4 linked regions of the Pelodiscus sinensis genome follow. The protein of the gene in region 3 interacts with the protein of the main gene of each other region in a pairwise test. Links are inferred from orthologs where the notes say so. Each region holds a gene or a part of one and is shown on either strand. Other genes may lie near its edges. The genes, in order: AMOTL2, KATNBL1, MFAP1 and BICD2.

What was found.
Region 1: the proteins of MFAP1 (region 3) and AMOTL2 interact in binary tests that used the Homo sapiens proteins (3 or more experiments, as listed by UniProt). The two-hybrid records come from large-scale screens. The link is inferred for Pelodiscus sinensis from reciprocal best matches to the Homo sapiens genes MFAP1 and AMOTL2.
Region 2: the proteins of MFAP1 (region 3) and KATNBL1 interact in binary tests that used the Homo sapiens proteins (3 or more experiments, as listed by UniProt). The link is inferred for Pelodiscus sinensis from reciprocal best matches to the Homo sapiens genes MFAP1 and KATNBL1.
Region 4: the proteins of MFAP1 (region 3) and BICD2 interact in binary tests that used the Homo sapiens proteins (3 or more experiments, as listed by UniProt). The link is inferred for Pelodiscus sinensis from reciprocal best matches to the Homo sapiens genes MFAP1 and BICD2.

What each region holds. Positions count from the first base shown.
Region 1 is NC_134720.1:1,016,542-1,024,196, reverse strand, and holds the start of AMOTL2 (angiomotin-like protein 2), read left to right. Parts: upstream 1-4,654; 5' UTR 4,655-4,806; intron 4,807-5,893; exon of another isoform or gene 5,894-6,222; intron 6,223-7,655. UniProt on the Homo sapiens protein: Regulates the translocation of phosphorylated SRC to peripheral cell-matrix adhesion sites. Required for proper architecture of actin filaments.
Region 2 is NC_134714.1:59,894,737-59,901,596, reverse strand, and holds the start of KATNBL1 (KATNB1-like protein 1), read left to right. Parts: upstream 1-3,843; 5' UTR 3,844-4,014; intron 4,015-6,860.
Region 3 is NW_027466027.1:125,070-132,265, forward strand, and holds the start of MFAP1 (microfibrillar-associated protein 1), read right to left. Parts: upstream 3,009-7,196; 5' UTR 2,905-3,008; coding exon 2,826-2,904; intron 2,497-2,825; coding exon 2,277-2,496; intron 611-2,276; coding exon 481-610; intron 1-480. UniProt on the Homo sapiens protein: Involved in pre-mRNA splicing as a component of the spliceosome.
Region 4 is NC_134721.1:31,014,162-31,022,152, reverse strand, and holds the start of BICD2 (protein bicaudal D homolog 2), read right to left. Parts: upstream 3,007-7,991; 5' UTR 2,627-3,006; coding exon 2,387-2,626; intron 1-2,386. UniProt on the Homo sapiens protein: Acts as an adapter protein linking the dynein motor complex to various cargos and converts dynein from a non-processive to a highly processive motor in the presence of dynactin.

The sequences.
Region 1 (7,655 bases), on a different chromosome or scaffold from region 3:
GGCCAGCTGCCAGCGAAGAGCCACGCCGGAAAACGGTTTCTAAAGCGGCTTCCAGCAGCGTCCAGTTCAGCCCTCGTGAAGCGCTGGGGCTGCCTTGGGGCACCGCGTCTGCCTTGGCTGGAGGCCAGTGGGGCACGGAGGCAGCTTGAGCGACCCCACTTTACGCTGGCCGGGCACGTGATCACGGACGGGACTTCGGGACTCTGGGCAGTTCCTCTTCTCGGCGGGGTCGTCTACACTCGCGCTTCGCCGGCAACACTCTTGGTGCCCACGGGCGTTAACCCCCCCATTGGCGGCAAACGAAACTGGGAACGCTGCTTGGCTGGTGGGAACGCTCCTGCCGCCAGGCGAAAGGGGCCCCCAGCGCTCGCACACGCCCACCTTCCGCCGCCAGGCTGCGTGCCCAAAGCGGCCTGGCGCAGACACCGTAGGGCCTCTGAGAGGCAGGAGTCCAGCTGGCAGAGGATTCCTTCCCCGTCCTCGACGCAGCTACACAGGGGCCAGCTCGGCCTACCTGGGGCCGTGGTACAGCGATGTCGTTGCATGGAGCCCGCCAAGGCAGGTACGTGGGCAAACTGCCCCCTTCAGCCACGTGCTTCGTCTCAGAGCGGGGAGCAACGTGCTGGCGCTGCCCTTCGCCATCTCTCCCGCAGCCACCGGACTGTGGCCACGGAGCCCTGACGCGCCAGCCTGACGGCGGGGAGGATTCCCTGCCGGTTCCCTGGCCGTGGGCAAGGGTGTGCAGGGAGCTGTGGGGCCGCAGCGAGCTGGGCTTCCTGTCTCTCTTCTCTCCTCTGGGCCCCCACGCCGGGGCTCTGCCGCCATCTGGGGCCCACGGGCCCGTCTTGGGGGGCCGACAATAGCCCCCACGGGGGCCTGTGGGACACAGTGGGGAGGATTCCCACGCCAGCCCCTGCAATGGGGCTCAAAGGAAGAGGAGGTGGGGGAGGGGCCGTGGACCCACACTGAGCTCTCCAGGGAAGGGCCGTTTGGTCCTCCCCCCCGTTTGTGACAGATGGGCCGCACCTGTCAGCCGGGGAGGGCGGGAGGGAGAGGCCAAGTGCCCTGTGCGGGGGGAGGGGACAGGGAGAGGAGCAGATGGTGAGGCAGGGTTCAGCAGGGTTGTTTGGTCTTAAAGACAATGAAGCGTCTCTCCTAACTTGGATTGCACAGGAAGATTTATTCCCCTAGACAGCTGGCAAGCGGCCTGAGTGCTTACCCGTCAGCACCGGCCCCCACGGCCCGCCGCACGCTCCCTGCGCTCTCCCTGACACACAGCACGACCGCCGCACGCTCCCTGCGATCTCCTCCCCGACACAGCACACGTACAACCCGCCGCACGCTCCCTGAGCTCTCCCTGACACACAACCCACTGCACGCTCCCTGCGATCTCCTCCCCGACACACAGCACGACTGCCGCACGCTCCCTGCGCTCTCCTCCCTGACACAGCACACACACAACCCACCGCACGCTCCCTGAGCTCTCCCTGACACACAACCCACTGCACGCTCCCTGCGCTCTCCCTGACACACAGCACGACCGCCGCACGCTCCCTACGATCTCCTCCCAGACACAGCACACGTACAACCCGCCGCACGCTCCCTGAGCTCTCCCTGACACACAACCCACTGCACGCTCCCTGCGATCTCCTCCCCGACACACAGCACGACTGCCGCACGCTCCCTGCGCTCTCCTCCCTGACACAGCACACACACAACCCACCGCACGCTCCCTGAGCTCTCCCTGACACACAACCCACTGCACGCTCCCTGCGCTCTCCCTGACACACAGCACGACTGCCGCACGCTCCCTGCGCTCTCCTCCCTGACACAGCACACGTACAACCCGCCGCACGCTCCCTGCGCTCTCCCTGACACACAGCACGACCGCCGCACGCTCCCTACGATCTCCTCCCAGACACAGCACACGTACAACCTGCCGCACGCTCCCTGAGCTCTCCCTGACACACAACCCACTGCACGCTCCCTGCGATCTCCTCCCCGACACACAGCACGACTGCCGCACGCTCCCTGCGCTCTCCTCCCTGACACAGCACACGTACAACCCGCCGCACGCTCCCTGAGCTCTCCCTGACACACAACCCGCTGCACGCTCCCTGCAATCTCCTCCCCGACACACAGCACGACTGCCGCACGCTCCCTGCGCTCTCCGAGACACAGCACAACCGCCTCACACTCCCTGCGTTCTCCTCCCCGACACACAGCACACGCACAACCCGCCGCACGTTTCCTGCGATCTCCTCCCCGACACACAGCACACTCACAACCCGCTGCATGCTCCCTGCGCTCTCCTCCCTGCCACATAGCACAACCACCGCACACTCCCTGCGATCTCCTCTCCAACACACAGCACATGCACAACCTGCCGCACGCTCCTTGCGCTCTCCTCCCTGACACATAGCACGACCGCCACATGCTCCCTGCAATCTCCTCCCCAACACACAGCACATGCACAACCTGCCGCACGCTCCTTGCACTCTCCTCCCTGACACATAGCATGACTGCCGCACTCCTTGCGATCTCCTCCCCAACACACAGCACATGCGCAACCTGCTGCATGCTCCCTGCGATCTCCTCTGTCACCCAGAGCACACGCACAACCAGCGGCACTCTTGCTCCATCACACACACATGCACACAACGCACCTCCACACGCCACCAGCTGCTAGTGATCTGCAATGTCTTCACACACACACACGCACACACACAGAGCCTGCCTGGTAGCGAACTCCTGGGTTTCACCTTCCTGATCACAGTGGTTCCTTCTGACTTTAAAGTCTGTGAGTCAGTCACACTTCCAAGAACAAATTTCCATGTGAACCACAAGGTGTATTTATCCTCCCTCCCATCATCCCCGTGGGGAAGGGCAGGGCTATTGTCTCCATTTTATGGATGAGGAACTGAGGCACAGAGAGGCCAAGTCACTCACCCGGAAGTCTGTGGGACAGCAGGGAATTAGATCCTGGCCTCTTCAGGCCCAGGCTAGTACCTTTCCCACTGGATGGCTCATCCTTTCCCCAACCGGGAAACTGGAGCCTTCCTTCAGAAGACAGTCGGGTCAGTAACAAACTCACCGTAGTAGCAGGCACGGCAGACGTGGTGCTTTCGGGAAGGTTGCACAATAGCATCCATTCTAAGCCCCCTTTTTACATTGTGACCATGTTCCACACCCGGCCTTGCCGTTGGGCTCCCATGTTTCTGAGTTCGGAGGGGCTTTGAGATACACGCCCTTGAGTTGGGCTTCTCCTGGCGCTGTAACTAGGAGGCTACCCCGAGTCGTCACGTCCCTGGAGGGGAAGCATGTTTTAACGGACCATAAGGCCACGGGCCCAGCCCTTCCACCGCCCTGCTGTGTGGCCTCATCGTTGTGCCTCTGTTTCCCTTCCCGCTGTAATGTAAATTCTCAGCTTTTTTTGATCTGAGGAAGTGGGTCTGGCCCACGAAAGCTCATCATCTAATAAACCATCTCGTTAGTCTTTAAAGTGCTACATAGTCCTGCATTTTGCTTCAACTACCCCAGACTAACACGGCTACATTTCTATCACTATTCTGGAGCAGGGGCTGTCTCTGGGTATCTGAGCAGGGCCTGTCTCAGTGGGCGGTGGTGGATGCTGCAGCTGGCTGCACACCGCAGATGGCAAGTAAATGACCTGGCTTAGAGACAAGAGGAAAGGTCCCAAAGCAGCCAGGGCTGAGGAGTTTCTAAGTTGCCAACTTCCCCAGGACTGGCCTGGGGGTCTCTGGACCATGTCATGGGATGAAACCCTTAGGAGTAAATCACAGAACTGTAGACCTGGAAGGGACCTCGAGAGGTCATCGGGTCCAGTCCCCTGCCCTCACGGCAGGGCCAAGCGAGATCATCCCTGACAGGTGTCTGTCCAACCTGCTCTTGAATAGCTCCACCACGCAGGTGAGGCCCATCCTTGACCAGCCAGGAAAGGAGCTTATAGGAAAGTTCAAGACGTTCAATATCTGTCCTAGAACGCTGTATGGCCGTGCTTGCAGAAGGGAAGTAAACGAACAGATTGACATGTGTAGGATTTCAGCTTCAAACATTCTTGATTGGATTAATTATCCATTTGAATCAGAACCTCGTCACCTTTCCAGTACTCTTTCGGGAACTAATTTGAATATTTGTGATTTGTAACAGTGGCCTTTTCTTTGCGCTGGAATGGCAGTTGAACGGGCCACTGGATTTTCCTTTTGTTAGCAAATATCTGTGATGATCTCTAAGCATGATCGTTCTGACTTTTTTCCCCCGTGAAAAGCCAGACCCATTCATTCCCCCTTTCCCCCCGCATTAAGGAAGGTGTAAGAAGTGGCGCAGTCGGCTACTGGAAGGGGCAGGATTGCGGGTGGGGCCCGCAGGTATTTGCCAAGTCTGGCTTCCTTCTGCCCCAAGCAAGCCCCCGCAGACTCCTCCCAGCGCAGAGGGGATGCCCAGGCTCCCCAGCTGGGGGGGTTTCCTGACGTCCCGCCTGACCCTCCCTTGCTGCCTGCGCCCCGCGGCCGAGGAGAGCCCTGCGCCCCCTTCCCGGCGCTTGGCCTCCCGCACGATCCGCGAGGGCCGTGCGCCCGGGCCGGCGGGGAGCCGCGGCGGCGCCCCCTGCAGGCCGCGGCGGGGCCGGCCGGGGCGGTGCTTGGTGGTTCGCCCGGCCCCGGGGGAGCCTGAAACTCTCGCATTCCTGGCATAGCGGCGCTGGCAGGCGCGGCGCGGCGCTCAGTGCCTGCCGGCAGCCGCGGGGGCAGGAGCTCGGCGAGCTGCGCGGAGCCAGCCCGGGCGGCGGTGAGTCTGCGCCCATCCCCGCGGTGTCGGGCTCCGGGAGGGGGAGCGCCCCGGCCGCCGCCTGGTCGCGCTGCCTGCCGCGGGCGCCCCCTCTTCCCCGGCGGGCAGCGCCCGGAGCAAGTGGCCGGGGCGGGCAGGAGGGCTCCCGGCGCACAAAGGGGCTCCCGGCCTGGGGAAGACCGGCCGGGCGGCTGCGCACACCCGGCTACTGTCGCCTCTGGTTGTGTGTGTGAGTGTGTGTCCGTGTGCGCGTGTCCCCGTGTCCGTGTGTGTGTGAGTGTGTGTGTGTCCGTGTGTGTGTGAGTGTGTGTCCGTGTGCGCGTGTCCCCGTGTCCGTGTGTGTGTGAGTGTGTGTGTGTCCGTGTGTGTGTGAGTGTGTGTCCGTGTGTGTGTGAGTGTGTGTCCGTGTCTGCGTGTGCCCGTGTGTGTCCATATGCATGTGCCCGTGTGTGTGTGCCTATGTCCGTGTGTGTGTTCGCCTGTGTCTGTGTGTGTGTGTCCGTCCGTGTGTGTGTGTCCGTGTGAGCATGTGCGCGTGTCCCCATGTCCATGTGTGTCCGTGTGTGTGTCTATATGCATGTGCCCGTGTGTGTGTGCCTATGTCCGTGTGTGTGTTCGCTTGTCTTTGTGTGTGCGTACTCGTGTGCACAAGCCCACGTCCTTGTCCCTATGTGCATGCCTGTGTGTGCCCATGTCCTTGTGTGTGTCTGTGTGCGCGTGTCCGTGTGTGCCCGCGTGTGTCTGTGTGTGCGTGTCCGTGTGTGCCCGCATGTGTCTGTGTGCGCGCACCCCGGGGGCCTTTGGAAGTGACCCTCCTCGCTCAGGGCCACATTCGTGCCCACGTGTAGCACACGACAGCCGAGGGGCTGGGATAGGACATACCACAAAACAGGGCTCGTTCTCGGGGGCCTCCTTGCCCATGTGCCGGTGTGGGCGCCAACAGCGAACTTGCTGATTCCTCTTGGCATTGCCCTCCCAGCTAGAACAACTCACGGGGTTTGGCCTGAAGCTTGACGCAGGCTCGGGCCCGGCGGGGTGATGCTGAGGGCAGCAAAGGGCAGGAGGGCAATAAATGAAGGAAGCGACCACATGCAACCCAGGAGAGGCCGGGGATCCAGGCCCGAATGCTCCCTACCAGGGCCAGCTTGGAGCCCAGAGGGCGCGGGTGGGTGAGGAATGTTTTCTCCACCTTCCTGGCTAGCGAGTCATGCTCCTGACCCAAGAGTTCAGACTTCCTGGCTGCACCAGGGCTTGTGAAAGGGGAGGAGTGTGGGGCTGTTGTTTTGGTTCACCCGAGGTGGGCTGGCACCGCAGAGGGCATTCAGCCTGGCAGCCGGGCTCGGAGAGGGAGGATTTCACCGTCAGGGAAGACCCGGTCAAGAACCTTTTGTGTTGGGAGTCAAGCCAGTCTTTGAGGTATGTTTGTATGAAGCAACAGGAGATTAGCATCTCCCTCTGCCAGCCCGCATGCACTAGCATGAGACTGAAACAGGTGATCAGATGTCTACTCAGGAATTCACTCGCTTGGAAGTCTGTGCGCCAAGGCATCTTAAAAACAAGGCTGCAACTTCCCCGGCTGGCATCCCTCTTCAGCCAGTGCCTAGCCACACGCAGCCCTGCTGTGATTGCCAGAGAGCAGTCAAAAAAGTGAGGAGAATGTTTTGAAGGTCCCCTCCCTCCCCCGGGTTTCTCCGTGCGCAGCCGGTTCAGTAAGATACATTTGATATTTACACTTTCAGTAGCTGGGTGACAAGCATCCACCCACAGGCGGCCAGAACGCGCACAGCTGACAGGCTCTTGAAAATCGGGTTGATTTTATGTCGCGTTTCACTGTAACGCTGTTATTATTGTGCATTTCTCCAGGGGTGCGACGGTAAAGCTGAGCCCTTTTGACTTGCTCACCCTCACTTTGTGAGCCAAATTCCCTCCCATTGTAGCAGGGCGGGTGTTTGTCTGTTTAAAACCGTGAGGTGTGCTGGGAATTGGTGGAGATGTGCGTTGTGGAGTTTTAAGTTTGGTCGGAGCTTTACACGGTCTGAGTTTGGGCTCCCGTTGGACAAGTCTCCCGGAGTGAGATGGAAAGTCCTGGAGACTGACTCGGGATGTGTGGGTTTCACAGGAACTAGGAGCCGTCTCGGCCCAGGAACGTGGGTCTGCCAAGGCTAGGGCCTTTTGTGTGACGTGTGTCTCATGTCCTCAACATCCTGCGTTGGTCTCCTGTGCGGGGTCATGACTTGGTCTCCGCCCCGTGAACTGAATGAATTTCTTAGAGAGCAGCCACAGCTTTTCCCCGCCTGCCTCGCCTGGCGCGTGGAGAGAGACGCACTCAGCGCACGCCTGCACTGCCGGGCGAAAGTCGAATTAAGATAGGGAACGTCAGCGACGTCAATTGCGTCGCTGTCGTTGAAACAGCTCCGTCTGGCTTTTGGTGCTGTCTGCGCGCACTCGTCCTTCCACTTCCCTCGCTCCTCGTGAAATGAGGGTTACAGGAGTCGGAGGAAGCCGTCCTCCGTCTCGAAATTAAATCGAAATAACGGCTTGCTGTGTGGACGCACACCTTGTTATTCCACAGTAATGCTGTTGTGTGGACGTGCACTTTGTTATTCCAGAGTAACACCGCAGTGTGGACGTGCACGTTGTTATTCCGGAGTAACGCCGCAGTGTGGACGCGCACGTTGTTATTCCGGAGTAACGCCGCAGTGTGGACGCGCACGTTGTTATTCCGGAGTAACGCCGCAGTGTGGACGCGCACGTTGTTATTCCGGAGTAACGCAGCAGTGTGGACGCTCACGTTGTTATTCCGGAGTAACGCTGCAGTGTGGACGCTCACGTTGTTATTCCGGAGTAAC
Region 2 (6,860 bases), on a different chromosome or scaffold from region 3:
CCCCCATACTTCTGCCTCTGATAAAAAGGCAGCAGCACAGAAGGCGAGGGGGGCAGGCAGGAGCCAGTACATGCAAGAAGCCAGTTTTCAAGACAGCAGCCTGTTCGTATGGGCTCCTGTGGAGCCACCTGCCCTTCCACACTGCTGCCTCTCTCCATGGGGTCCAGACCAGAAGGTTAACTCTTACAATGAATGAAGCACTGTGCTGCACAAAAAGCATATATTATGTACAAGGCCAAATCTATCATTTTAAGCACCTGTCAGGCAGGTAGAAGACACAGATCAGCATGGGGCAGGGGAGGCTGATACATGGGCAGCAGCAAGGGGTGGCAGGGAACTCCACAGCAGTGCAACTGGTTGTGTATTGGATTCTGGCCCCACCCCTGGAGACTGTGGAATAGTCGTGTAACCTTTAAAATTTGATGAGGTTACACAACTATTCAATTACAAACTATCGATCATCCCTAATTACAATGCCCTTGTATAGCAATCAAAGCTGTGGGAATGAAAGCCTTCTGGTCTAGGAGACATCCCTGGGAGTTGAATGAATGGTTTCCCATGACTTCACCCCATACCCTGCATTCCAGGGCACCTAGGAGAGGTGACTATGGAACTTGGTGAAGAGGGCAGGTGGTTTATCATTGGGTGCAGAGGGGACACTGCTCCATATGCTTTTCTTGCATCTCTACCTGGCACCTCATCAGCTCTGTTTGCTCCCCCACAAACCTCAACGTCTCATCTCACATCCTATGCTCATGTTCCGTGTATGCTCTCCTCTCCTCCTGTTCGACGTTTATGATCTGTAACATCGTTCTCTTCCATGCATTCTGTTGAGCTCTGTCAGTGTGGATGGATTTTGAACTTGCCCATTTAACATTTCATCCCATGTACATTTTTTTCTTTCGCCTTCTGATCTGTGACAATGGATGTATTGGTGGATCTAGAGAAGTGGGTAACAGAGTCATCGTTGCAGCTACCTTGAGTGAAAAAAGTCAAGGGTAAACTTTAGAGAAGATACATTGTAAGACACAAAAGGTTAACTCTTAGTATGAATAAAGTATGTACAAAGCCAAATATATCATTTTAAACATCTATCAGGCAGGTAGAAGACACAGCTCAGAATGGAGCAAATGGACTTGGTTTGGTGGCAGGGATAGTAAGCAGCATATTGAGATTCTTACTCTTTTGATTATGCTTTTAAAATATGTGTGACAGTGTTTGCAAACTACAGCCCTCATTGCTATCTAAGCATTTGCATTTGCAAGAGGGGCCACATTCATGAGGAACCCTGCAAGTGGGTGAACCAGGCGGGTTTTTAGAGGCTCGTACATTCAGCATGTGTTTTCCCCACGCACTCCTCTGTTATACCTGCAGACTGCAATTCTCCCTTCCCACAGTGACCTGCATAAGGAGAGGTGGAGTGAACCTGTTCTTCAGGATAATCCCTTCAAGCCCTTTACAATGATGGCTGCAAGTCTGGGGTCATGATTTTCCAGAGATGAGCAAAAGGAGGCAGTTTGCCTCAGTGCTATCAATTACAGAACTTCCACTTTTTCATCCAGGTTGCCATGCGTGATATCAGTCTTCTCCAAATCAGAGAGTATGACAGAAAGTGGATGCTGACTGAATGTGCTCAGAAATCTGTATCTTATTCTGCTATGCTTTGTGCTGCAATGATGCCAGATCACTTACTCCTAGCTTGGTGTGGAAAGATGGCCTACTGTGGAGAACGGAATAAGGCAGGCCTTCCCAGAAACCTTGTGAGAAGAATTAAAGAGTACTTCTATGAGAGCGTTGCTAAGATGTACAGGGAGGATTCCCGCTTCATCTCCAGATATGTTTACAAACTTTACCAGAGAGCCCATGCTGTGTAGGCAGAGTGGCTGCCACTATACCTCTCAGGACAGAGCAAACAGAAAAATCCAATTACATTTACCCACTGTAACTTGATTACAAAAGTGAATTGACCAGAAGTGCCCTCCCCACCATCAGGGTCCCACAGCAATACATCCCGGGAGGAGATTGGCCTCCTGGCTGTCAGTGAGACTGGATATCAATGTTTCTTCTGCTGCTTTGGAATTCTGCCTGCAAAAATTCCTCTCCTCGTGCAGCAATCAGATACAGGATTTCCTGCATGCTTCATTCTGGAGCTCATTTATGACTCTGGCATTCATGGTCAGGTATGCTGCTGAGGTGTGTTGCTGAGCTTGCCATGTGGCAAAACAGGAAATGAAATGCAAAATTTCCTGGGGCTTTTCCTCTGTACTGGGAGAGTAGTAGAGTTGAAAGTACTGGCCAGAGCAGTCACAGTGGGACACATCCTGGAGTTCAACAACATCGACTTTACCAAAACTGTGTCTGAACGATCCCAAAGTTGATCATGCAAGGTCAGATTTAGCACTACTGTTGTCAAGGGGAAATACAAAAATCTACTTTAACCACCCCTAAAGTCAGCAGAACATGGAGGAAGCTGAGCGTGTAGGTTAACAAAGATTGTGGGGACAAAGGATGAAAGCTTGGCCCAAATGAAGTTAATGGCAAAACTGACATTGTCTTCAATGGGGTCAGGATTTCACACAAATGAAACTAATGGAGTCCGTGAAGAGAAGAAGAAACTGCCTGAGAAGGTGCTGAAGTGACATGGCTAGCTGAAAGAATTATGTCTACAGTGAGAATATAAGAAGGGTTGGTCAGAAAATGACAAGTATTTTCAACAAAAAAAAATCACTGAAACTAAAATTTTTCATTTCTTTCAAAATCTTTCAGTGATTTGATGAAACAACTCAATTACTTTCCCCCTCCAATCCCTCCAGATCAGTAAGCAGGAAGAGAGAATTAATAAGGAACAAACATTTTCTATTAAAAATGAAAAATGTTTATATTCATTTTATTGAAAAATCAAAAAAGTAAAAGAAACACAAACTTTTTGTAATAATGCTAATTTCCAACAAAAAGTCATTTTAAACCTAAAAAAATAGAAACCACTATAATTTGAGGGCCAATGAGGTGATCTAAGGGGACGTCATAGTGGAACAATTGAGGGGAGTGAGACACTGGGCTGGAGGGGTGGTTGAGACTGGCAAAGGAGTGTTTGTGGTGGCAGTGAGACAAAGGAAGGGGGTAGTCTTGTGGCACCTAAGAAATCAACAAATATACGGGATCATGAGCTTTCCTGGGCAAAACCCACTTCATCAGATGAGTTGGGCAAAAGGAAGGGAGTGACGCTATCTGAGAAGTCATGGGATGGTGGGACTGGGGGGGGGGGGGGAGGAGTTGTTGAGACAGCACAATGGCCTGAGAGAAGTGTGGAAGTGAGGAGGCTGAGGTTGGGTATTTGGGGGCAGGGAAATTCCCTGAAAGTGGGTTCGGGGGGAGGGGAATGAGACTGAGGGGCTTGTGGGGCTGATGTTGCTTAAAGGGATTCAGTTAGCACTGAAATGCTTTGAGGGTCATTGGAAGAGGGGAGAGGGAGACAGATGAAGGTATATTGTGGGGATGGTGGGACTTTGAGGGGTAGATGAGGAACTGCTGAGGCTGTGACTCAGGGGCAGAAGTCAGGGCACCAGCGGGAGGGAGTGTTGAGGGTGACACTGAAGCGGGGGCACAGCTGCTGAACCTTGGGTGGGGTAGGGCAGAAGGGAGCCTGAGGGAGAGCTGAGGATGGGTTCGTCAAATCTGAGGGGGGGGGGCAATGATGCCAACGGAGGGGCTGGGGCCAGGCAGGGCAGTGAGGGCCAGCGGGCTGTCCGGGGCGGTGATGAGGATGCGCGGGGAGAGGTTGAGGCGGCCAGAGCCAGGGGTCTGGCGCGTGCAGTTCCCGCGGCCGCCCCTAGGGGACGCGGCGGCGGGGAGGGGCGCGGTCCCGCCCCGGCTCTCTCCGGCCCGGCATGCAGCGCGCCGCAGTTTGAATGGCGCAGGCTCCGCGGAGTGGGCCCCGGCGCTAGGACTGCCACGGATCAGCGCCGCCTCCTCGGCTCGGCTTGGCCCGCAGCAGCGCGGTACCATGAGCAGCGGGTGAGTGGGGCGGCTGGGTTCTCGGGCCCGCTCTCGGCCACGGCCCTTCCTCCCTTGGGGCTGAGCCCGGGGCCGCTCCCTGGGCCGGGCAGCGCGGGCGCCTGGCTCCGCAAGGGAGGCGTCCCGAGCGCCCGGCCCGCAGCTCAGCCGGGGTCGCTGGCAGGGCTCAACCGGGGTTGCACTGGCGCCTCTGCGGCGTTAGGCCGTGGCTGGTGCCAGGCATGGTCCCTGGAGGGAGGGGCTGACAGGCAGGGTCTCTCCCGCCGCGTCTCTTCCGGCTGGACAGGTGCCGCTGGGGCGGGGATACTCTCCTGGCACGTCTCTGAGTGTTGTCACAGGCCTCGCAGCTCGGTGTGTGCCGGGGCGTGGGCTGACCCGACAGCCGCCCGGCGCCTCTTGTCTCCGCCACCGTCTGCTGCTCGCCTGTGCAGCCCCTACGTGCGCCCGCTTTCTGGGCGGCCCCCTGCCGGGAGACGTTACACGTGCCATTAGTGACACGGCTCCTTCGTTTTACCTGGGACAGTGTCCGCCCCCCAGAGGCGCGAGATTGGGCAGAGTGTCCTTTCCTAGCAGGGTGATGAGATGAGCCGCAGTTTAAAACGAGATCCGTGAAGGTGTAGGAGCTACCAGGGCGGCTGGAACGCATATCCTGCGATTTGCCCTTATTTACTCTGTTTAGTGAGTGAAATTGGTGTCTTATTCCTGGGGGAAAATAGAGGTGAAAGTAAGCGGGTGTGCCCTGGTGTGCAGCTCCAGCGGCAAAAACCAGCAGGGAGCTATTTAAAGAGTTGTAGAGACCCGGATTGCGATGGGACAGTATCTATAAGAAGCTTTAAGTTACTTTCACCGCTGGGAGGAAAAAACACACTTCAGGGCTCTGGAGACTGTATTGCTTTGCTAAGGGAGTTTTGGTTTTCTGAGTAAAATACATGACTTGCATTAGCGTCATTCAGTATATTTAGATTTAATTCCTGCTGTCCAAACAAAGTTAGAGAAAATACAAATGATATAACTTATAATAGTTGACATTTTTTAAGACTTTGGAACTATATTTTTATTTTGCAAAAATAACTTTTTTCATTGTGATGTATATTACACTTTTTAGAACTGCCTCAAATCTATATATGGTCCATCAACCATATGAAGAAACTCGCACAGATACAGACAGACATCAAATCTATATGTATTTTAAAATAGTTACAGTCCTTTCTTGGTTATATATAAATTTCCCCTCTAAGCACCTTCCCCTCTTTCCATTCCTCCTAAGCTCTCTGCCTTAAGCGGAGTAAATAGATGCCACTCTGGGTGTTCTGAAGAAAATTTAATAAAATCGCAAATAAAATTTGTAATTTGCTAGTATTCTTTGTTCAAAGGAACAAATAGAACAGATAAAAGCCACTAGCAGAATTATTCTATTCAAGATAGTTGTATCCCCAGTGTAAATAAAATTGATCTACAGTGTTGTTGATGGGTCTGTGTACAAATAATGTTATGGAATTGGTAAAATGAGCATTAGCTTGAATTTCTAAATTTGTATTTGAGAATTGTAGTTTATAGTAATCATATTTGCAGGAGAGCCAGTGAGACGTGCATCTGTTTATATTTTTACTCAATTATCTGTAACACAGATGAAAATTAGTAGTCTCAGTTACTACAGAGTTATCAATGTGTAAAAAATTTTAAAAATCTGTTAAATCTGTGTCTTCACTTTTGCTAGTAATGCCCTGAATAATATCTCAAAGATGCCAATACACTATCTAAGCCCAGGTTTACACTACAGCCAAAGGCCTTCTTAAGGTATGCAGTAGGGCAGCCCATTTAGCAGGTCTTCAAGCAGCATTGATCTTCTTCTCTATAGCTTAGATATAGCCTTACTTGAAAATTTTTTGTAGGGGTTTAGCATTTTATAGGCTATGCATGGTTTTCTGAGTAAAATGCATGACTGTATCTAAGATCTACCTGGCTCTAAACCCGAGGTAGGCAATCGTTTTCATAGGCTGATCACTTAATGAATTTTGGTATTGACCATGGGGTCTGCGGTAGAGATGTAAGTGACTAATCAACTATACAATAAGCATAAGCTTATCAAATAGTTGAATAGTGACTCTACTAGTCACTCCCCCATCAAGTAATTGACTAGTCGATGGAATTTCCATCGATGAATTGATTAAACACAATTTAACATCCCTACCTGGGGCAGAACGGGCGGGGCTGGGGACTAGCCTACCACCAGATTTGTCTGGGGCTGAAGGCTTTGAAGTAAAAATACTGCAAAGGACTCGTGGCTCCTGGCCCTGCTGTTGCTGTGTGGCCTGGCAGCTGCCTAGAGTTGCTACATCTATTTAAAAGGCTCATGGCTTCAGCCCCTGCCGGTCTGGTTCTGTGACCGGGAGCCATTTAAATAGAATCCTGATACCTGAGCCACAGCTGGGCAGCAGAATAGAAATAGAAAGTGACCAGATGCAGTCTGTGGGTGGGATCCAAGTGTTAGGTGCGCTCGATCTCGTCCTTGGGCCACATCTTGCCCAGCCTAGATCTAAACCCTAATTTCCACACCCTTGGTCAGAGAAGCTGCGTTGGTGACTTCGGGGGTGCCATGCCAGGAATTGTGGCAACTGTATAAATTACTTGTTGATCAAAGGGATGGCTTGTAGAGGACTAGAGATGAAAAGAGTTAACTGCTTAACATCATCCTTACTGGGCGATGCTTATGGGTATCCGATTAACTGGCGGGGCACAGGGGCTGCTCCGAGACTAACCATTTATTCCTAATGTTTAACCAGTTACTATATTAAATAATTAACATCCCCATAGAAGACAGGACACAAATAATTAATAGGAAATGG
Region 3 (7,196 bases):
GGCCAGCTTGGCTAACAGCCCTGTCCTCTGTGAAGTGATTTCTCTAGGGTAGATTAAAACCCAGCTTTAGTTTTGGCTACCAGCATCCCATGGCGATGCCTCCGAGTCTCCGTGCTTTGCGCGAGTAAGCATTTGCCGTGCGGTCCCTTTGTAAGGCTTTGCCATCAGCTTTGGACTTGCAAATGTTGAACTGCACCCAACCCAGTACAGCCCATCTCCTATCCTTTAATCGGTTACTGATCACGAGAGAGCCGTCCCTCTCAGCCCATGACACCCAAAGGCAAGGCAAGGCCACCTGTAGACCCTCCTTTAACCTCTCGACAGACCGGCCGTGTATTAGCCAGTCCCATTTGCCCACAGACCTCGTACTGCCTCCTGCTGCAGGGAGCCAGCCTCCACCCTGTGGAACCTCTGCCGAGAGATCCTGGGAAACCGGAGCTTGCAGCGCATCTGCAGCATGTTTTGTGGATCTGCACATACCTCGTCGTCAATCTCTTCCTCCTCCTCCTCGCTGGTGTCTTCCCGTTCCAAACGCCAAGCTTCTCCCTCCACCTCTGAGTCACTTTCTCCAACCACTTCTGGCTCCACAATTTTGCGGTGCCTTGCCAGTCTATGCACAGACACCAAAGTTAGCAATTCAGCTACCACAAAGCAGTGACATAGGCATGGCCCATCTACAAACTGAAGTCCCCACACACACATCCAAGCCAGCGCTTCCAGCTACACAATGGCCTTGTCCTAACCCTCCAGACCCCACTGTTCTGGCTCCAGGAACCACAGCAAAGATGCATCTCAGTACACCACACTGAACACATGCTAATCTCAGCTGTTCAAGTAACTACAAAACGCGGCTAGACCCACCAGTATCCTAAATATAATCATGCTGTAACAACCAGAGCTCTTCTGAATATGATGCTACAGCATGAACTCTCATGGACAGTCTGTGAGTGCCTGGCCTACAGTCACAGTGATCACAGCAAAGCCTGGAAAAAGTAAAATTCTTCTCAGAAGGTTGGTTTACATGGCATCAGTAGAAGCAGTAGGTGGATTGCTCCAGAACAGACTTTCCTGTTTCTTCCACTGCAGAAAACACAGCTTCCATTGGGATCCTCCTGCTTCTTCGCTGGCTACGCTAAAGACTGAAGCAATTCTAGAACTGACCTGGCTACTCCGAATAGATATGAATTACTGACTAGAGAAGAGTTAAATAAAACCTCAACTATCTGTTTTTCTCAATGAGATTCAGTAATATAATACTCCCTATCTCCATACAAGAATGTTGTCCTGTTTTCTAGATTTTGCCTTCCTGTGAAGAGCTAGCTGTACCACTTATGACACCTTTCAGAACTTGCTTACTAACTGCAATAATCTACATCTAAAGAATTATTTGTGCCAATGCACAAAGCTGTTTTTTCCTCCTCAGACCCCTCAATTTAAGATGTGGGGAAAACAAAAAAGGGACACTCCAAAAAGTTACACACCTGAAAAATGTATTTCCACAAAAGACTCATGCAAAGTGTAGCTACCACAACAAAAAACTTTCTTTCCATGTTTTTATTCATATTTTAGTTTATTTACACAGTCCCTTGGACAGCACTCTGGCAGAGTCATCTCCAAAGGGAGGTCTTTCACAAAGAGAAACTCTCCTGAAAATATAACAAAGGTGTATCTACAGCTGTCAGTGTACATCAGGGCAGGCGGGCCGGACACCATGGGCGGTGTGTCTGACTGAAGCTTTGTCTACCTTACGTGGCTGGGTTGCCAAAAGTCACCTTTGCTGATAAAATACTTTCGCTCCCCAAGAGCAGCATTTGCTTTATCAGCTGGCGAGCACTCCTGCCAACAAAGCACTTTTTACCCTAATACTGCATCTATAATTGCACTCAACTGATAAAACTTTTGTCATCCATGGATGCTTAACTCCCCCCCGCCCCCCCATGAACGACAAAGTTTTTCCATGGCAAATGCAAGTGTAAACGCCGCTTTGTCAGCAAGAGCGCCCTGCTGCTGACAAAGCAAAACCTCCTTGGAGGTGGCAGTATTTTGCTGACAAAAGTACCAACAGCGTTCTCACAAGCTGACTGTTAGCCACAGGGCTGTGTGGACACAGCCTTGCTGCTAAAAGCGGCGTAGTGCAGACGCACCCTAACGGTTGCTACAACAAGGCTCGTCAGTCAGGGTTGTTTTTTTAAACGCCCATGAACAACAAAACCTTTGTGGCTCATTTGCCAGCGTAGACACAATCTAAAGCAGGGCTGTCATGGGCAGGGGCTTACCGCTCCTCCACATCCTCGTTAATGCGGTTCTGCAAGCGCCGCAGGCGGGGGTCGCTGGCTGAATCCTCCTCCTGCTCCTCTGGCTCCAACTCCTGCTCCTTCGCCTTCTTAATGAACTGGAACTCCTCATCCTCCTCGTCGGAGGACTCCATGGGCGCGTAGTCTGGCCGCTTCCCCGACACATAGCGCTTCACCTTCACCTTCTCCATGGAGATCTCACCTGCCAGGGGGAGGGGTTACCCCAGACCAGACCTCAACGCCCCGGCCCCACGGGGACCACAGCCCCCCGGCCCCCCCGTGAGAGCCCCCAAATTCCCGCGTGCAAACCCCCAGATCCCCCCGGCCACGCGCGCGAGCCCCCCCATGTCCCCCCATCCGCCCCGCGAGCCCCCCCATCCGCCCCACGCGCGCCCCCATGTCCCCCCGCCCGAGCCCCCCCATGTCCCCCCATCCGCCCCGCGAGCCCCCCCATCCGCCCCACGCGCGCCCCCATGTCCCCCCGCCCGAGCCCCCCATGTCCCCCCGCCCCCCGCGCGAGCCCCCCCCCACCCTTCTCGTTGCGGACGGGCACGGCCCCCGCCGTGGACTGGATCGGCGGCTGCTTCATGAGGGCGCTGGGCGCGGCCATGGCGGCGGCTTCTGGCCCGAACTCGGGACCCTCCGACACCGACAAGAGCGGCTGCGATCGCGCCCCGAACCGGAACCGGAACCAGCCGAGCGTCACAGCCACGACCCGGAAATTGTCTTCGCTCAGGCGCCCGCTGGCCGGAAGTACGTCACTACGGGTGGGGACTTGATCCCGGAACCGGCTGTTGATTTGCCGGGGGGAGGGGGAATCGGGTCCCTCGCGCCGCCCGACCCCTCCCCCCCGGGTGCCTGGAGACTCGGCCACGTGCCCTGGCAGTAGCTGGGCGGGGCCCGCCAGGGGGCGCTGCCCTTAGGCCGCGATTCGTCCGCTGGGATGAAGCTATTTGCATCTATTTGCATCTATTTGCATGCGCGGCGGGAATCGCTGCCCCGGGGCTCCCCGGCCCCGCATCCGCCTGCAGCGCGGGCCCAGAGCGGGGGGGGGGCAGAGCCGGGGGGGGCCCAGAGCCGGGGGGGGGGCCGAGAGCGGGGGGTGGGGCAGAACCGGGGGGGCCCAGAGCCGGGGGGGGCTCAGAGCAGGGGGGGGCAGAGCCGGGGGGGGGGCCAGAACCGGGGGGGGCCCAGAGCCGGGGGGGGCCCAGAGCGGAGGGGGGCCAGAGCCGGGGGGGCCCAGAGCCGGGGGGGGGCCCAGAGTGGAGGGGGGCCAGAGCCGGGGGGGGCCCAGAGCCGGGGGGGGGGCCCAGAGTGGAGGGGGGCCAGAGCCGGGGGGGCCCAGAGTGGAGGGGGGCCAGAGCCGGGGGGGCCCAGAGCCGGGGGGGCCCAGAACCGGTGATGTGTAAAAGGGAAGTCAAAACCCCCGGAGCCATTGATTCCCCTATGAGGGGCACGTACAATATACATACATTGCTAATGCTTAGATATATTTGCTATTTGTATCGGAGTAAGACATGACAAAGGTCAAGGCCTGTCACAGGTAATAACTTGTAATAAGGAGACGAGGGGAGGTGAATCCAGTCTTCTGTTAAGTGGAGATATGGATAGATTCCACATCCTTTAAACTTGTGACCGGCTCAAGCAGGAAAGGGAAAAGGGAAGTATGGCTCGCCCATTGTTCAGCAAGTAGGCACTGTATTTAACCTCATTTGGAAAATTAACCTGACCTATAGGAATGCTAAATGTCAAAGATGAAGTAACCTATCATGTTAAGGCACCTAAACCAGGAAAGATGTGAACCCTATAAAAACCCCTGCCTATGAGATGTTGGGGGTCGGCTCTGCTTTGAACATTGAGTTCCTTAGCCGTACCTTGGTTGCAACCAATAAACTTGAGTTGGACCCAGCCTGAAAGTGTGACTCTCTTCTTGGGGTAAATCAGACTAGCCTCCAAGGGGACGAAACCAGCAATTTATGCAACACCGGGGGGGGCCCAGAGCGGGGGGGGGGCCGAGAGCGGGGGGTGGGGCAGAACCGGGGGGGCCCAGAGCCGGGGGGGCAGAGCCGGGGGGGGGGTCAGAACCGGGGGGGGGCCCAGAGCGGAGGGGGGCCAGAACCGGGGGGGGGCAGAGCCGGGGGGGGGGCCAGAACCGGGGGGGGCCCAGAGCGGAGGGGGCCAGAACCGGGGGGGCCCAGAGCGAGGGGGGCCAGAGCCGGGGGGGCCCAGAGCCGGGGGGGCCCAGAGCCGAGGGGGGGGGCAGAGCCGGGGGGGGCCCAGAGCCGGGGGGGGGCGCTCCCCCAGCCCCGCCTGCCCTCCCTGGGGCCTTGGCACACGCCCCCCCGGCGCCCAGCCCGCGGCACAGCCCAGGCCCTCTGGACTACGGGGGGGGATCCCCGGGCCCCCTGCGCCTACTCCAGGAGCAGCCGCTCTCGGCCTGCAGCCCCTCCCCTCCTGCAACCCCCCGTCCCTGCGCCCCGCCCCTCCTGCAACCCCCCCGTCCCTGCGTCCCGCCCCTCCTGCAACCCCCCCATCCCTGCGCCCCGCCCCTCCCCTCCTGCAACCCCCCGTCCCTGCGCCCCGCCCCTCCTGCAACCCCCCCGTCCCTGCACCCCGCCCCTCCCCTCCTGCAACCCCCCGTCCCTGCACCCCTCCCCTCCTGCAACCCCCCCCGTCCCTGCGCCCCGCCCCTCCCCTCCTGCAACCCCCCCGTCCCTGCACCCCGCCCTTCCCCTCCTGCAACCCCCCGTCCCTGCGTCCCGCCCCTCCTGCAACCCCCCCGTCCCTGCGTCCCACCCCTCCTGCAACCCGTCCCATCCCTGCGCCCCGCCCCTCCCCTCCTGCAACCCCCCCGTCCCTGCACCCCGCCCCTCCCCTCCTGCAACCCCGCGTCCCTGCACCCCTCCCCTCCTGCAACCCCCCCGTCCCTGCGCCCCGCCCCTCCCCTCCTGCAACCCCCCCGTCCCTGCACCCCGCCCTTCCCCTCCTGCAACCCCCCGTCCCTGCGTCCCGCCCCTCCTGCAACCCCCCCGTCCCTGCGCCCCGCCCCTCCCCTCCTGCAACCCGTCCCGTCCCTGCGCCCCGCCCCTCCCCTCCTGCAACCCCCCGTCCCTGCGTCCCGCCCCTCCTGCAACCCGTCCCGTCCCTGCGCCCCGCCCCTCCCCTCCTGCAACCCCCCCGTCCCTGCGCCCCGCCCCGCCCATCCTGCAACCCCCCCCGTCCCTGCGCCCCGCCCCTCCTGCAACCCGTCCCGTCCCTGCGTCCCGCCCCTCCTGCAACCCCCCGTCCCTGCGTCCCGCCCCTCCTGCAACCCGTCCCGTCCCTGCGCCCCGCCCCTCCCCTCCTGCAACCCCCCGTTCCTGCGCCCCGCCCCTCCTGCAACCCCCCCGTCCCTGCGCCCCGCCCCTCCCCTCCTGCAACCCCTCCGTCCCTGCACCCCTCCCCTCCTGCAACCCCCCCGTCCCTGTGCCCCTTCCCTCCTGCAACCCCCCGTCCCTGCGCCCCGCCCCTCCCCTCCTGCAACCCCCCCGTCCCTGCGCCCCTCCCCTCCTGCAACCCCCCCGTCCCTGCGCCCCGCCCCTCCCCTCCTGCAACCCCCCCGTCCCTGCGCCCCGCCCCTCCCCTCCTGCAACCCCCCCCGTCCCTGCGTCCCGCCCCTCCTGCAACCCCCCGTCCCTGCGCCCCTCCCCTCCTGCAACCCCCCGTCCCTGCGCCCCTCCCCTCCTGCAACCCCCCCGTCCCTGCGCCCCGCCCCTCCCCTCCTGCAACCCCCCGTCCCTGCGCCCCGCCCCTCCCCTCCTGCAACCCCCCCGTCCCTGCACCCCTCCCCTCCTGCAACCCCCCCCGTCCCTGCGCCCCGCCCCTCCCCTCCTGCAACCCCCCCGTCCCTGCGCCCCGCCTCTCCCCTCCTGCAACCCCCCCGTCCCTGCGCCCCGCCCCTCCCCTCCTGCAACCCCCCCGTCCCTGCGCCCCGCCGTCCCTGCGCCCCGCCCCGCCCCTCCTGCAACCCCCCGTCCCTGCGCCCCGCCCCTCCCCTCCTGCAACCCCCCGTCCCTGCGCCCCGCCCCTCCCCTCCTGCAATCCCCCTCCCTGCGCCCCGCCCCGCCCCTCCTGCAACCCCCCCGTCCCTGCGCCCCGCCCCTCCCCTCCTGCAACCCCCCCGTCCCTGCGCCCCGCCCCTCCCCTCCTGCAACCCCCCCGTCCCTGCGCCCCGCCCCGCCCCTCCTGCAACCCCCCCGTCCCTGCGCCCCGCCCCTCCCCTCCTGCAACCCCCCCGTCCCTGGGCCCCGCCCCTCCCCTCCTGCAACCCCCCCGTCCCTGCGCCCCGCCCCGCCCCTCCTGCAATCCCCCGTCCCTGCGCCCCGCCCCTCCCCTCCTGCAACCCCCCCGTCCCTGCGCCCCGCCCCTCCCCTCCTGCAACCCCCCCGTCCCTTTTTATCGGCCCCCCCGTCCCTGGACCCCCAGCCGGCTGCAGAACTTGCAGCAAACCGCGCCCAGGGAACATCTGCACACGCTCCTGCTCCACACCCTGCATTTCCCCACCCGCGTGTCCCGCCCCCATGCCAAGTGGCGGGACGACCTCAGATCCACTGAGGGTGGGGAACCCCGAGGGGCCGGCGTTTATTCCATCTTAATCCCGCGGCCCATCGGAGACATCAGTTGGCGGCTCCTTCATGGAGCCGTGAGCACGGGTGTGTACCTGGGGCGGTTCACCCCTATCCTGGACACCTGGGGCGGTTCACCCCTATCCTGGACACCTGCCCCTTCTGCGGCGTGAGGGAGAACCTGGCCCACGCCTACCTCGAGTGCGCCAGGGTGCAGCCCCTATTCCGGCTCCTCCAGAACCTCTTACTGAGGTTCTGGCTGCACTTTTCCCCTCACCTTTTCATTTATGCACACCCC
Region 4 (7,991 bases), on a different chromosome or scaffold from region 3:
GAAGAGACTGAACAATCCTATTGATGGGAAAAAGCTTAAGTTGGGGTTTGCTTTAAACAAGCTCAGACCTGCACAGAAACAAATTTGGGTATGGCTACACTGCAATGACAAACCCTTAGCTGGCCTATGCCAGCTGACTCAGGCTCATGGGGCTCAGGCTGACAGGCATTTCATTGCTTAGCAGACTTCCAGGCTGGGGCCTGGGCTCTGGCTCTAGGACCCTGTGAGAGAGAGATAGCCCAATACAGTCTGGCCACAGACAAGAGCATCTGTATGCTCTTCCTCACTGCCCTGCATTGCATCATATGCCCTTCCACCTCATTCCCTCTACATCCCCAGGAACTCCATACTTTCAAATGAGCACTGAGAAATCCTTTCTGCAGGAGCTCGATCCCTACTCTCCTAGGTACCTGGTCCCCCCTCAACAGGAGTTCTGGTCGCTCAAGCCCTGTTTTTCCACTCTTGGATCTCCAGCCTCTTACAGTTCCTCCGCTTCTCCATGTGATCTGAGCCTATGCCACTTCAGCCTAGGCCCGCCCTCCCATAGCTCTCTGGTTCTCTTCCACTCCTCTGCTCTTCCATTTTCACCCTGTGGAGGATTAGATCTTTGGTGCTGAGCGGGCCAGAGGAATAGGTGAACACAGCTGCTCTCTGCCCTCACGGGCATCCTGTAACATGGACAGATGAAGAGCAACACTCCTGGACTCATGGAAAGAAGTGCTTTGTCTCTTCACTGCTGGCTGAAGATTAAGGGACTCCCCAGCCTTTGTTTACAGAGCCTGGGGGGTTGAGGAGCATATTTACCTGTCCCCACCCCTAGTTGAGTGATAGGGGAGAAGAAGTAAACCTCACTGTAATTACCCTATAATCACCATGCCAAGTGAAGTTTTCCCTTCAGTCTACTGTTGCAGAAGATGATCTCCAGGGCCTGGAACAATTAGCAGTAGGAAAAGTGAGAGCTCCCCCTGACCCATTCACTTGTGAGGTGAGGAACTTCAAAGCTAGGGGCCTGCACTTGGCCCTAAGGCAATCCAGCAACAACGAGGAATTTCCAAGTTAATGCTGACACGCCTCTGCTTTACACTTTAATGCTCAAAAGGCCAATTATTTTATTTCTGCACTTTTGGCTCTGTTGCCAGGAAGCTCCATGTCCCATTAAAGCTCTAACATGGATGGCTGACACAGTGTGTCAAACGGCTCAGCAGTAGGTGGATCTTTGGCACCGAGTATGGCATTTCTACACATGCAGAGCCATTCATTCCTTTGCTGGTCTTTACAGACTGTTTCTTATAAGGATAACTTATTAGAGACCCCTCAGCACTGTGCAGAAAGGATCCTCGGAATGCTCAGTAGCCAATATTTCAATATCAATTATTCAACCTATTATAAGAAGGCCTGCTCCTAACAGTTATCTCTCAACAAATTTTCTGCTTTAAAATAAAATACTATTTTAAAGCTTTGTACTTAGGTGGGGAAATCTATTTAATGTAACTCATAGTTCACTCCCCATATTTATCCCGTTTATAAACAACCAGATTGAAATAATGCAATTCACAAAACAGTGTATATCTGGGGGATGGGAAAGTTGAGAGAAAAAATTGATTCCAATATCAAATTGCACCTCACAGTCAGGGAACTGGGTTCATGTAAGAGGTGCTTTGTGGGAGCCCTGGGCTGTGTACCATTATGCAGCAAAGAACAGAATTACGGTCACTTCCATTATTCCTTTCCCCCTGCACGGAGCACACTCAGTCCCAGACTGGCACTTGATCTCCAGCGCATTAGCCTCAAGTATCCGCTTTCCTGTGCCTGGCGCCCAGCTGAGCGAAGACACAGCAGATGTCATGGGAAGGGCAGAGGGTCTTAGAGGAATTGCCGAGCTGTCCCTTTAAAGGGCTGCCCAGCATTACGCCAGCAGTGATGAGCGTGATGATGCCGGATCTGGCCGTGACACCGCACTGGGCAGGATGCTGCGCTCCAGCCCAGTTGGAAGATGCAGCCCGCAGCTGCTGCCCAGCGAGAGCTGAAGCCAAACTTCGCGGGGAGGGGGAATCACATCCACCCGCGCGCCCAGACCGGCCAGAGCAGCTCCCAGGAGCGATGCATCCCCTACGCCCCCGCCATATCTCCACCGCTGCGTGGCAGGCAGCGATCAGCCAGTCCTTGCCGCAGCCCTGCGGGTGCATCATCGGTCCTGCGTGCCTTTGGGGGGGGGGAGGACCACGCCCCAGGAGCCACTCCAGGCTCCGCAGCGGCTTTACCTTGAGGGGACCCCCAAGGCGGAGGGGACCCCCCCCAAAGTCACACAGTGCTGCGGCCGCTGCGCCGCGCTCCCTGCCTTGCCCACTCCCGGCGTGTCACCCCGGGCCACCACCCCGCGGCTCACCTCCTTCAGCTGCTCCATCTCCGAGCGGATGGTCTCGTACTCCGCCTCCAGCTCCTCGTACTGCTGCTTGAGCTGCTGCTTCTCCTCCAGCACGGCCAGCCCGTACTCCGCCGCCTGGATCTTCTCCCGGGTGGTCTCGCCCAGCTCCTGCGAGAGCCGCTTGAGCTCGCTCCGCAGCCACTCGGGCTCCGACTCCATCACCAGCTTGGCGTACTCCTCCTCCTCCGTGGCCAGAGCCATCTCGGCCGGCCGGGCGCGGCGCCTCCCAGCCCCGTCCGACGGGGCAGCGCAGCGAGGGGGGCTGCGGGGCGAGCCGGGCAGTGAGGGGACGGACGCAGCGCCCTTACCAGCCCCGCAGCCGCTGGGCTGCCATGGGCCGCCCTGCGCCAGCACAACTTGGCCCCGCTGCGGCGCTGCCAGCTCCCCCGGCTGCCATGAACCGGGCTGGGCGCTAGGCTGGCGGCTCTCGTCCCCGGCGGCAGCCCCCTCCCCGCCCGGCCCTTACACCATGCTCCCTGCCTCCTCCGGCAGGCTGCTGCGAAACGCGCTGGGCAGGCACAGCGCAGTGAAATCATTCAAAAGGAACGGCCAGCGCCAGCTGCCCCGCGGGCCTTGTAGGACTTGTAGTCCCGCCTCCCCCTAGCGCCAAGCAAGCCTGCGCCGGAGAGGACTACGAGTCCCACAATGCACAGGGCGGGCAGACCAGCTGGAAGGCAGCCCAGCCTCTTGGAGGAATTCTGGCTGGGGGAAGAAGCTGGCAGCGGGGGCTGGGTTAGGATCCTCTTCGGCATCAGGGCAACTTTCACTTGTGACAGTGACCCCTACAGGCTGCGTTACACATAGGTGGCTGCATTCTTGCGGCGGGGGGCAGAAGGTCATACAGTAGGTTGCTGTTCATTGCAAACAGGGGCCACTCAAGTGAAATCAGCAGAAGTTGGGCAGTTAAATAGCTTTGGGAATCGGACTCATTGTCTGTGATTGGAAGTGAACTTAGTATATAACTCGCAGCCCTCTGGCTTTTAAACAGAACAGGACAAAACCTCTCTCCCCCCGCCCCTCCCCCAAAAATATTTTCATCACCATCGGTCATATTCATCTGTTTGACTTCTTTGTTGTAGTTCTGTGTTGATTTATTCATTGATTGGTGTATACAGTGCTGTTGTTGTGTATGGCACTTTACAAATAAAACCCAGTATTGTCTCAGCCAAAAGACAATACATCTTTTGGGGACCTGGGACATGGATTTAGGCATGTGCTAGTACATACTGAAGTCGATGCAACTTGTAATATGTATAGGTCTTTCCAGGATCAAGGTCTTGCATAAGCCTGTAAAGTTAGAGGTGGGGGACTTTTTTGGGTTTGGGGGTCACTGACCCACACAAAAATCAGTCAGGGGCAGCACACAAGTGAGAAACAAAAACAAAACCCTCACTGACAGTGGCTGCCAACTCAGAAGGAGAAAGACATTCCCCTTGCACACCAGAATCTTGGGAGGCCAAGCTTAGTAGATTTTGTGTGCTCCAGCCCTGAGGGGAGCAGGATCCAGGCAAGTGGGGGGGGGGGAGCATCTGGCTACAAGGCCTGAGGTTCTCCACCCCTGAAACCGTTCACTCCTTAGTCCCAGTGAAGTAAAAGGTAATGTTTGCCTGAATGAATACTATGTACTTAAGAAAGGGTTTAAAGAGCCTACTAACTAGAAGATAAGAAGTAACAAAGAGAGAAGGCTACAAAGAATGGGGGGAGGAGAGAGAACAAAGGTTGCAACAATGGAAGCATGTGTTTGCTCTTGCATACTATGCATGCTTCTTCAGGGTGCTGGCTTTGTTTCTTTCATTGTTAAAAAAACTAAAAGTGATCTATAGCATTCTGATAGCATTAACTAGTTACAAGGAATAGTTTCAACAGTTGTACTGTAAGGCTTTCACTCAAGTAGGAGTACCTTTAATCATAGAATACTAGAACTGGAAGGGACCTCAAAAGGTCAAGTCCAGTTCCCTGCCCTCATGGCAGGACCTACCTCTATCTAGATTAGGGGTGTGGAATCTGAGGCCTGGGGTTTGGATGTAGCCCCTGGCTTGCCTGGATTTGGACCTATTTTTTTCTCCCTCCTCCTTATAGCACCTTTTTAAATATTTGAAAGCTGCTATCATGTCATCTCTCAGTATTCTCTTTTCCAAACTAAACAAATCCAATTCTTTTTGACTTTCCTCAGATATAGGTCATATTTTCTCTAGACCTCTAATTGTTTTTGTTGATCTTCTAATGTTGCTATAGATTCCTCCCTATATTTATAACTGAACTGTCATGCTTGCTGATGTTGTCATTTGAAATTAAAAAGTAAAGGTATTTATTATTGACTTGGGGGGCACTTGTTTATAGGGTTGCCAGGTGTCTGGTATTTGTGGACTCTGTCCAGTAAAAAAAAAAAAACAGAACATACTGGTCCCCCAGTTTTTTTTGTTTGTTTTTTGTTTGTTTGGGGGTTTCTTTTTCTTTTTCTTTTTTTTCCTCAACCAATTTTTTTCAGTATTTTTTTGTGAAAATATCTGGCAACCCTACTTGTTTATGAGGTAGTCATGGCAATTACATTGCTACCTTTGGGGTCTTTGTATAATTCTTCTTTCACTCAGCTTGTTTATTTCTTTATGTAGAGTCACTGATGAGCATGGTGCTGGGCAGATAAATAAGAAAGCAGGTTCTGGCTTCCAGGCATTTACAGTCTAAATAGATAAGCACAAAAGGGGAAATGACAACAGACAGTGGAATGGAGTAGAGCTGGAAAGGAAACACCAGAAAACAAGGGGAAAGGTAAGCAGCTTGCAGGGAGCACAATATTTTTTTAGATGTTTGTGTTAACATCTTTATTATTTTACTATCGTTATTTACAGATTTTCAGAAGGACATACGGGAGTTAAGATGAATGAGGGAAGGTGAACACATGACCAAACTTTATGTTGTCTCAAAGATACAGATCCAGCAAAGCACCTGAGCACATGCATAACTTTAATCACGAGTCAGTCCATAGAATTTAATAGAACTCCTCACATTTAAAGCTATGCACATGCTTAAATTATTTGCTGGAGTGGGGCCTAAATCAACTTGCTATGTAAGTGACATAAGATGTATTATTGAGACCAGGCTTGCAACTGACTAGAATGCAGAGGAAAGGAATTTTATAAGCAATGCACATTTGCAGAAGTTACAAGATCTTACTTGCTCGGTATAATTTTGTTAAATACTTTGTACAGTTATTAGTTCATGATTAGTATTTCACCATAGCAGTAGCATATTTAGACCTATGAAGCTGTGAATATGGCTCAGGATTTTCACTGGCCACTCACCACATTTGCACACCTAACTGCCAGCCAGAGTTTCAGCCTCAATGGCCCAACATCATCTAACATTAGCATCAGCTAGTGATGGCAGAGAATGAATTCCTTAGCATTCTTCCCTAGCTATCAGCTATCTCCTGGCTTCTTGATCTTTTTTGGATGGAGCACCAGAAACCAGAGAACATCACAGCCAGCTGCATGGAGGAAGAAACAGCAGTAACAGCTGATGAGGACAGTGTCATGGCTACACAGGACTGAGTACCATTCGCCACTTGGCAGAGTACTGAGGGGAGGGGACCTCTTACCATTTTGCACAGGGGTGGCCATAAGAATGAGGTAGCAAGTAAATTACAAGATGAAAGCAAACATCTTGCCATAATTTTCCCCACCTAGAGTAATGTGGGGTATGTCTACACTACCACCCTAGTTTGAACTAGGGTGGTTAATGTAGGCAACCGGAGTTGCAAATGAAACCCGGGATTTGAATTTCCCGGGCTTCATTTGCATATTGCCGGGTGCCGCCATTTTTAAATGTCCGCTAGTTTGGACTCCGTGCCCGCGGCTACACGCGGCACGAACTAGGTAGTTCAGATTAGGCTTCCTATTCCGAACTACCGTTACTCCTCGTGGAACAAGGTGTACCAGTAGTTCAGAATAGGAAACCTAATCCGAGCTACCTAGTTCGTGCCGCGTGTAGCCGCGGGTACGGAGTCCGAACTAGTGGACATTTTGGCGGCGCCCAGCAATATGCAAATGAAGCCCGGGAAATTCAAATCCCGGGCTTCATTTGCAACTCCAGTTGCCTACATTAACCACCCTAGTTCAAACTAGGGTGGTAGTGTAGACATACCCATGATGATTGTGCCCAGTAAATCCTCCATGTGCCTAAGGAAGATTGGAGATCTCTTCCTTTTCCATTGTTTCATCTCTCCCAAGTCAGTGGCTCCATCTAACAGTTCCCCATCCCCCAACTGGGAATAATGGCTTATGACAGGATTAATATTAGGATAAATGCATTGAAGAGTGTAGAGTGCTCAGGCACTACAGGAATGTGGAGAGCTATATAAGTATCTAAGGGCTTGTCTCTACTATGCTGGGGATTGATGCTACAATGGTTGATCCATTGGTTATTGATTTATCACATCTGCTCAGATGCAATACATCAATCTCCAGGTGCTCGCCCATCGATGCCAGTACCCCACAAAGGCAAGAAGAGTAGCTGGCAACAATGGAAGGACAGTCCTCACTGACCTTACCCCACAGAAGATGCCGCAATAAGTACATGAATAAAAGTATGATGGTTACCAAAAAGAGTAAACAGGACACAGTGAATGCCGTAATTACTTTTCCACAATAAGTAGAATTAATTTATAAGCCGTGATGTAGGGCTAACTGTCCTGACCACATTCTGCTCATAGGCCTGGCCTACAACAAAAACGTATATTGACCTAGATACATCATCCGAGCTGTGAAAAATGTTATGCCCTGTGCATAACTGAGAGCACTATTTTGCCCTCTGCATGTCAGCTTCAGATCTTGCCTGACGTTCCTTTACTGCAGCAGGCCCAGCTCAGATTTTATTGGTATTGAATTGGCAGGTAAATGCCAAACATAATGAAAAACAATTACCTGTCTGAGCACACATGAGGATTAGAACATAGTACATTACATGGGCAGTGCCTACAGCTCTAGGGCTTTTTCAGGCTGCTTTAATCTTCTAAGTACCTACGTTCATCCAAATCCACCTTGGTACATATAAAAACATGCCTCTTTAATAAAGTATTTTAATGTCTGAAGTTAGCTTGGTGGCTTCATGACTACAAGGCTAATGTGTTGTTGAGGAGCTTGTGCCAATCCAAACTCTGCACGGCTCATCTAGAGAGGCTGAATTTGACATGTGAATACAGTGAGGTAATGCCTAAATTCTCTTCCCTGTAACAAATTTGCCTGAAGATGACAAACAAAAGTTTCATGTAAACAGTCTGCTGCAGTTAACGAATATTCCTTTAGTTTTCAAGTTTCAAAATGCCTTGAGTTCTGTGTTAACAGCAAACCTGTATGTATCTGACTTAATTTAGAAAACCTCACACACCCTTAACAGCCAAAACCTATCCTTTTATACACTCCGTTATTTTTCCTCTAAATTCATGTCAATTCTTCATATGCGATGCTCCTTTAAACCCCCCATTGCATGCACTACATGCAACCAAACTGCTGCTGATCTTACACCAGTGTTATAAGCTGATGTTACTAACTCCTTTGATTTTATTAGA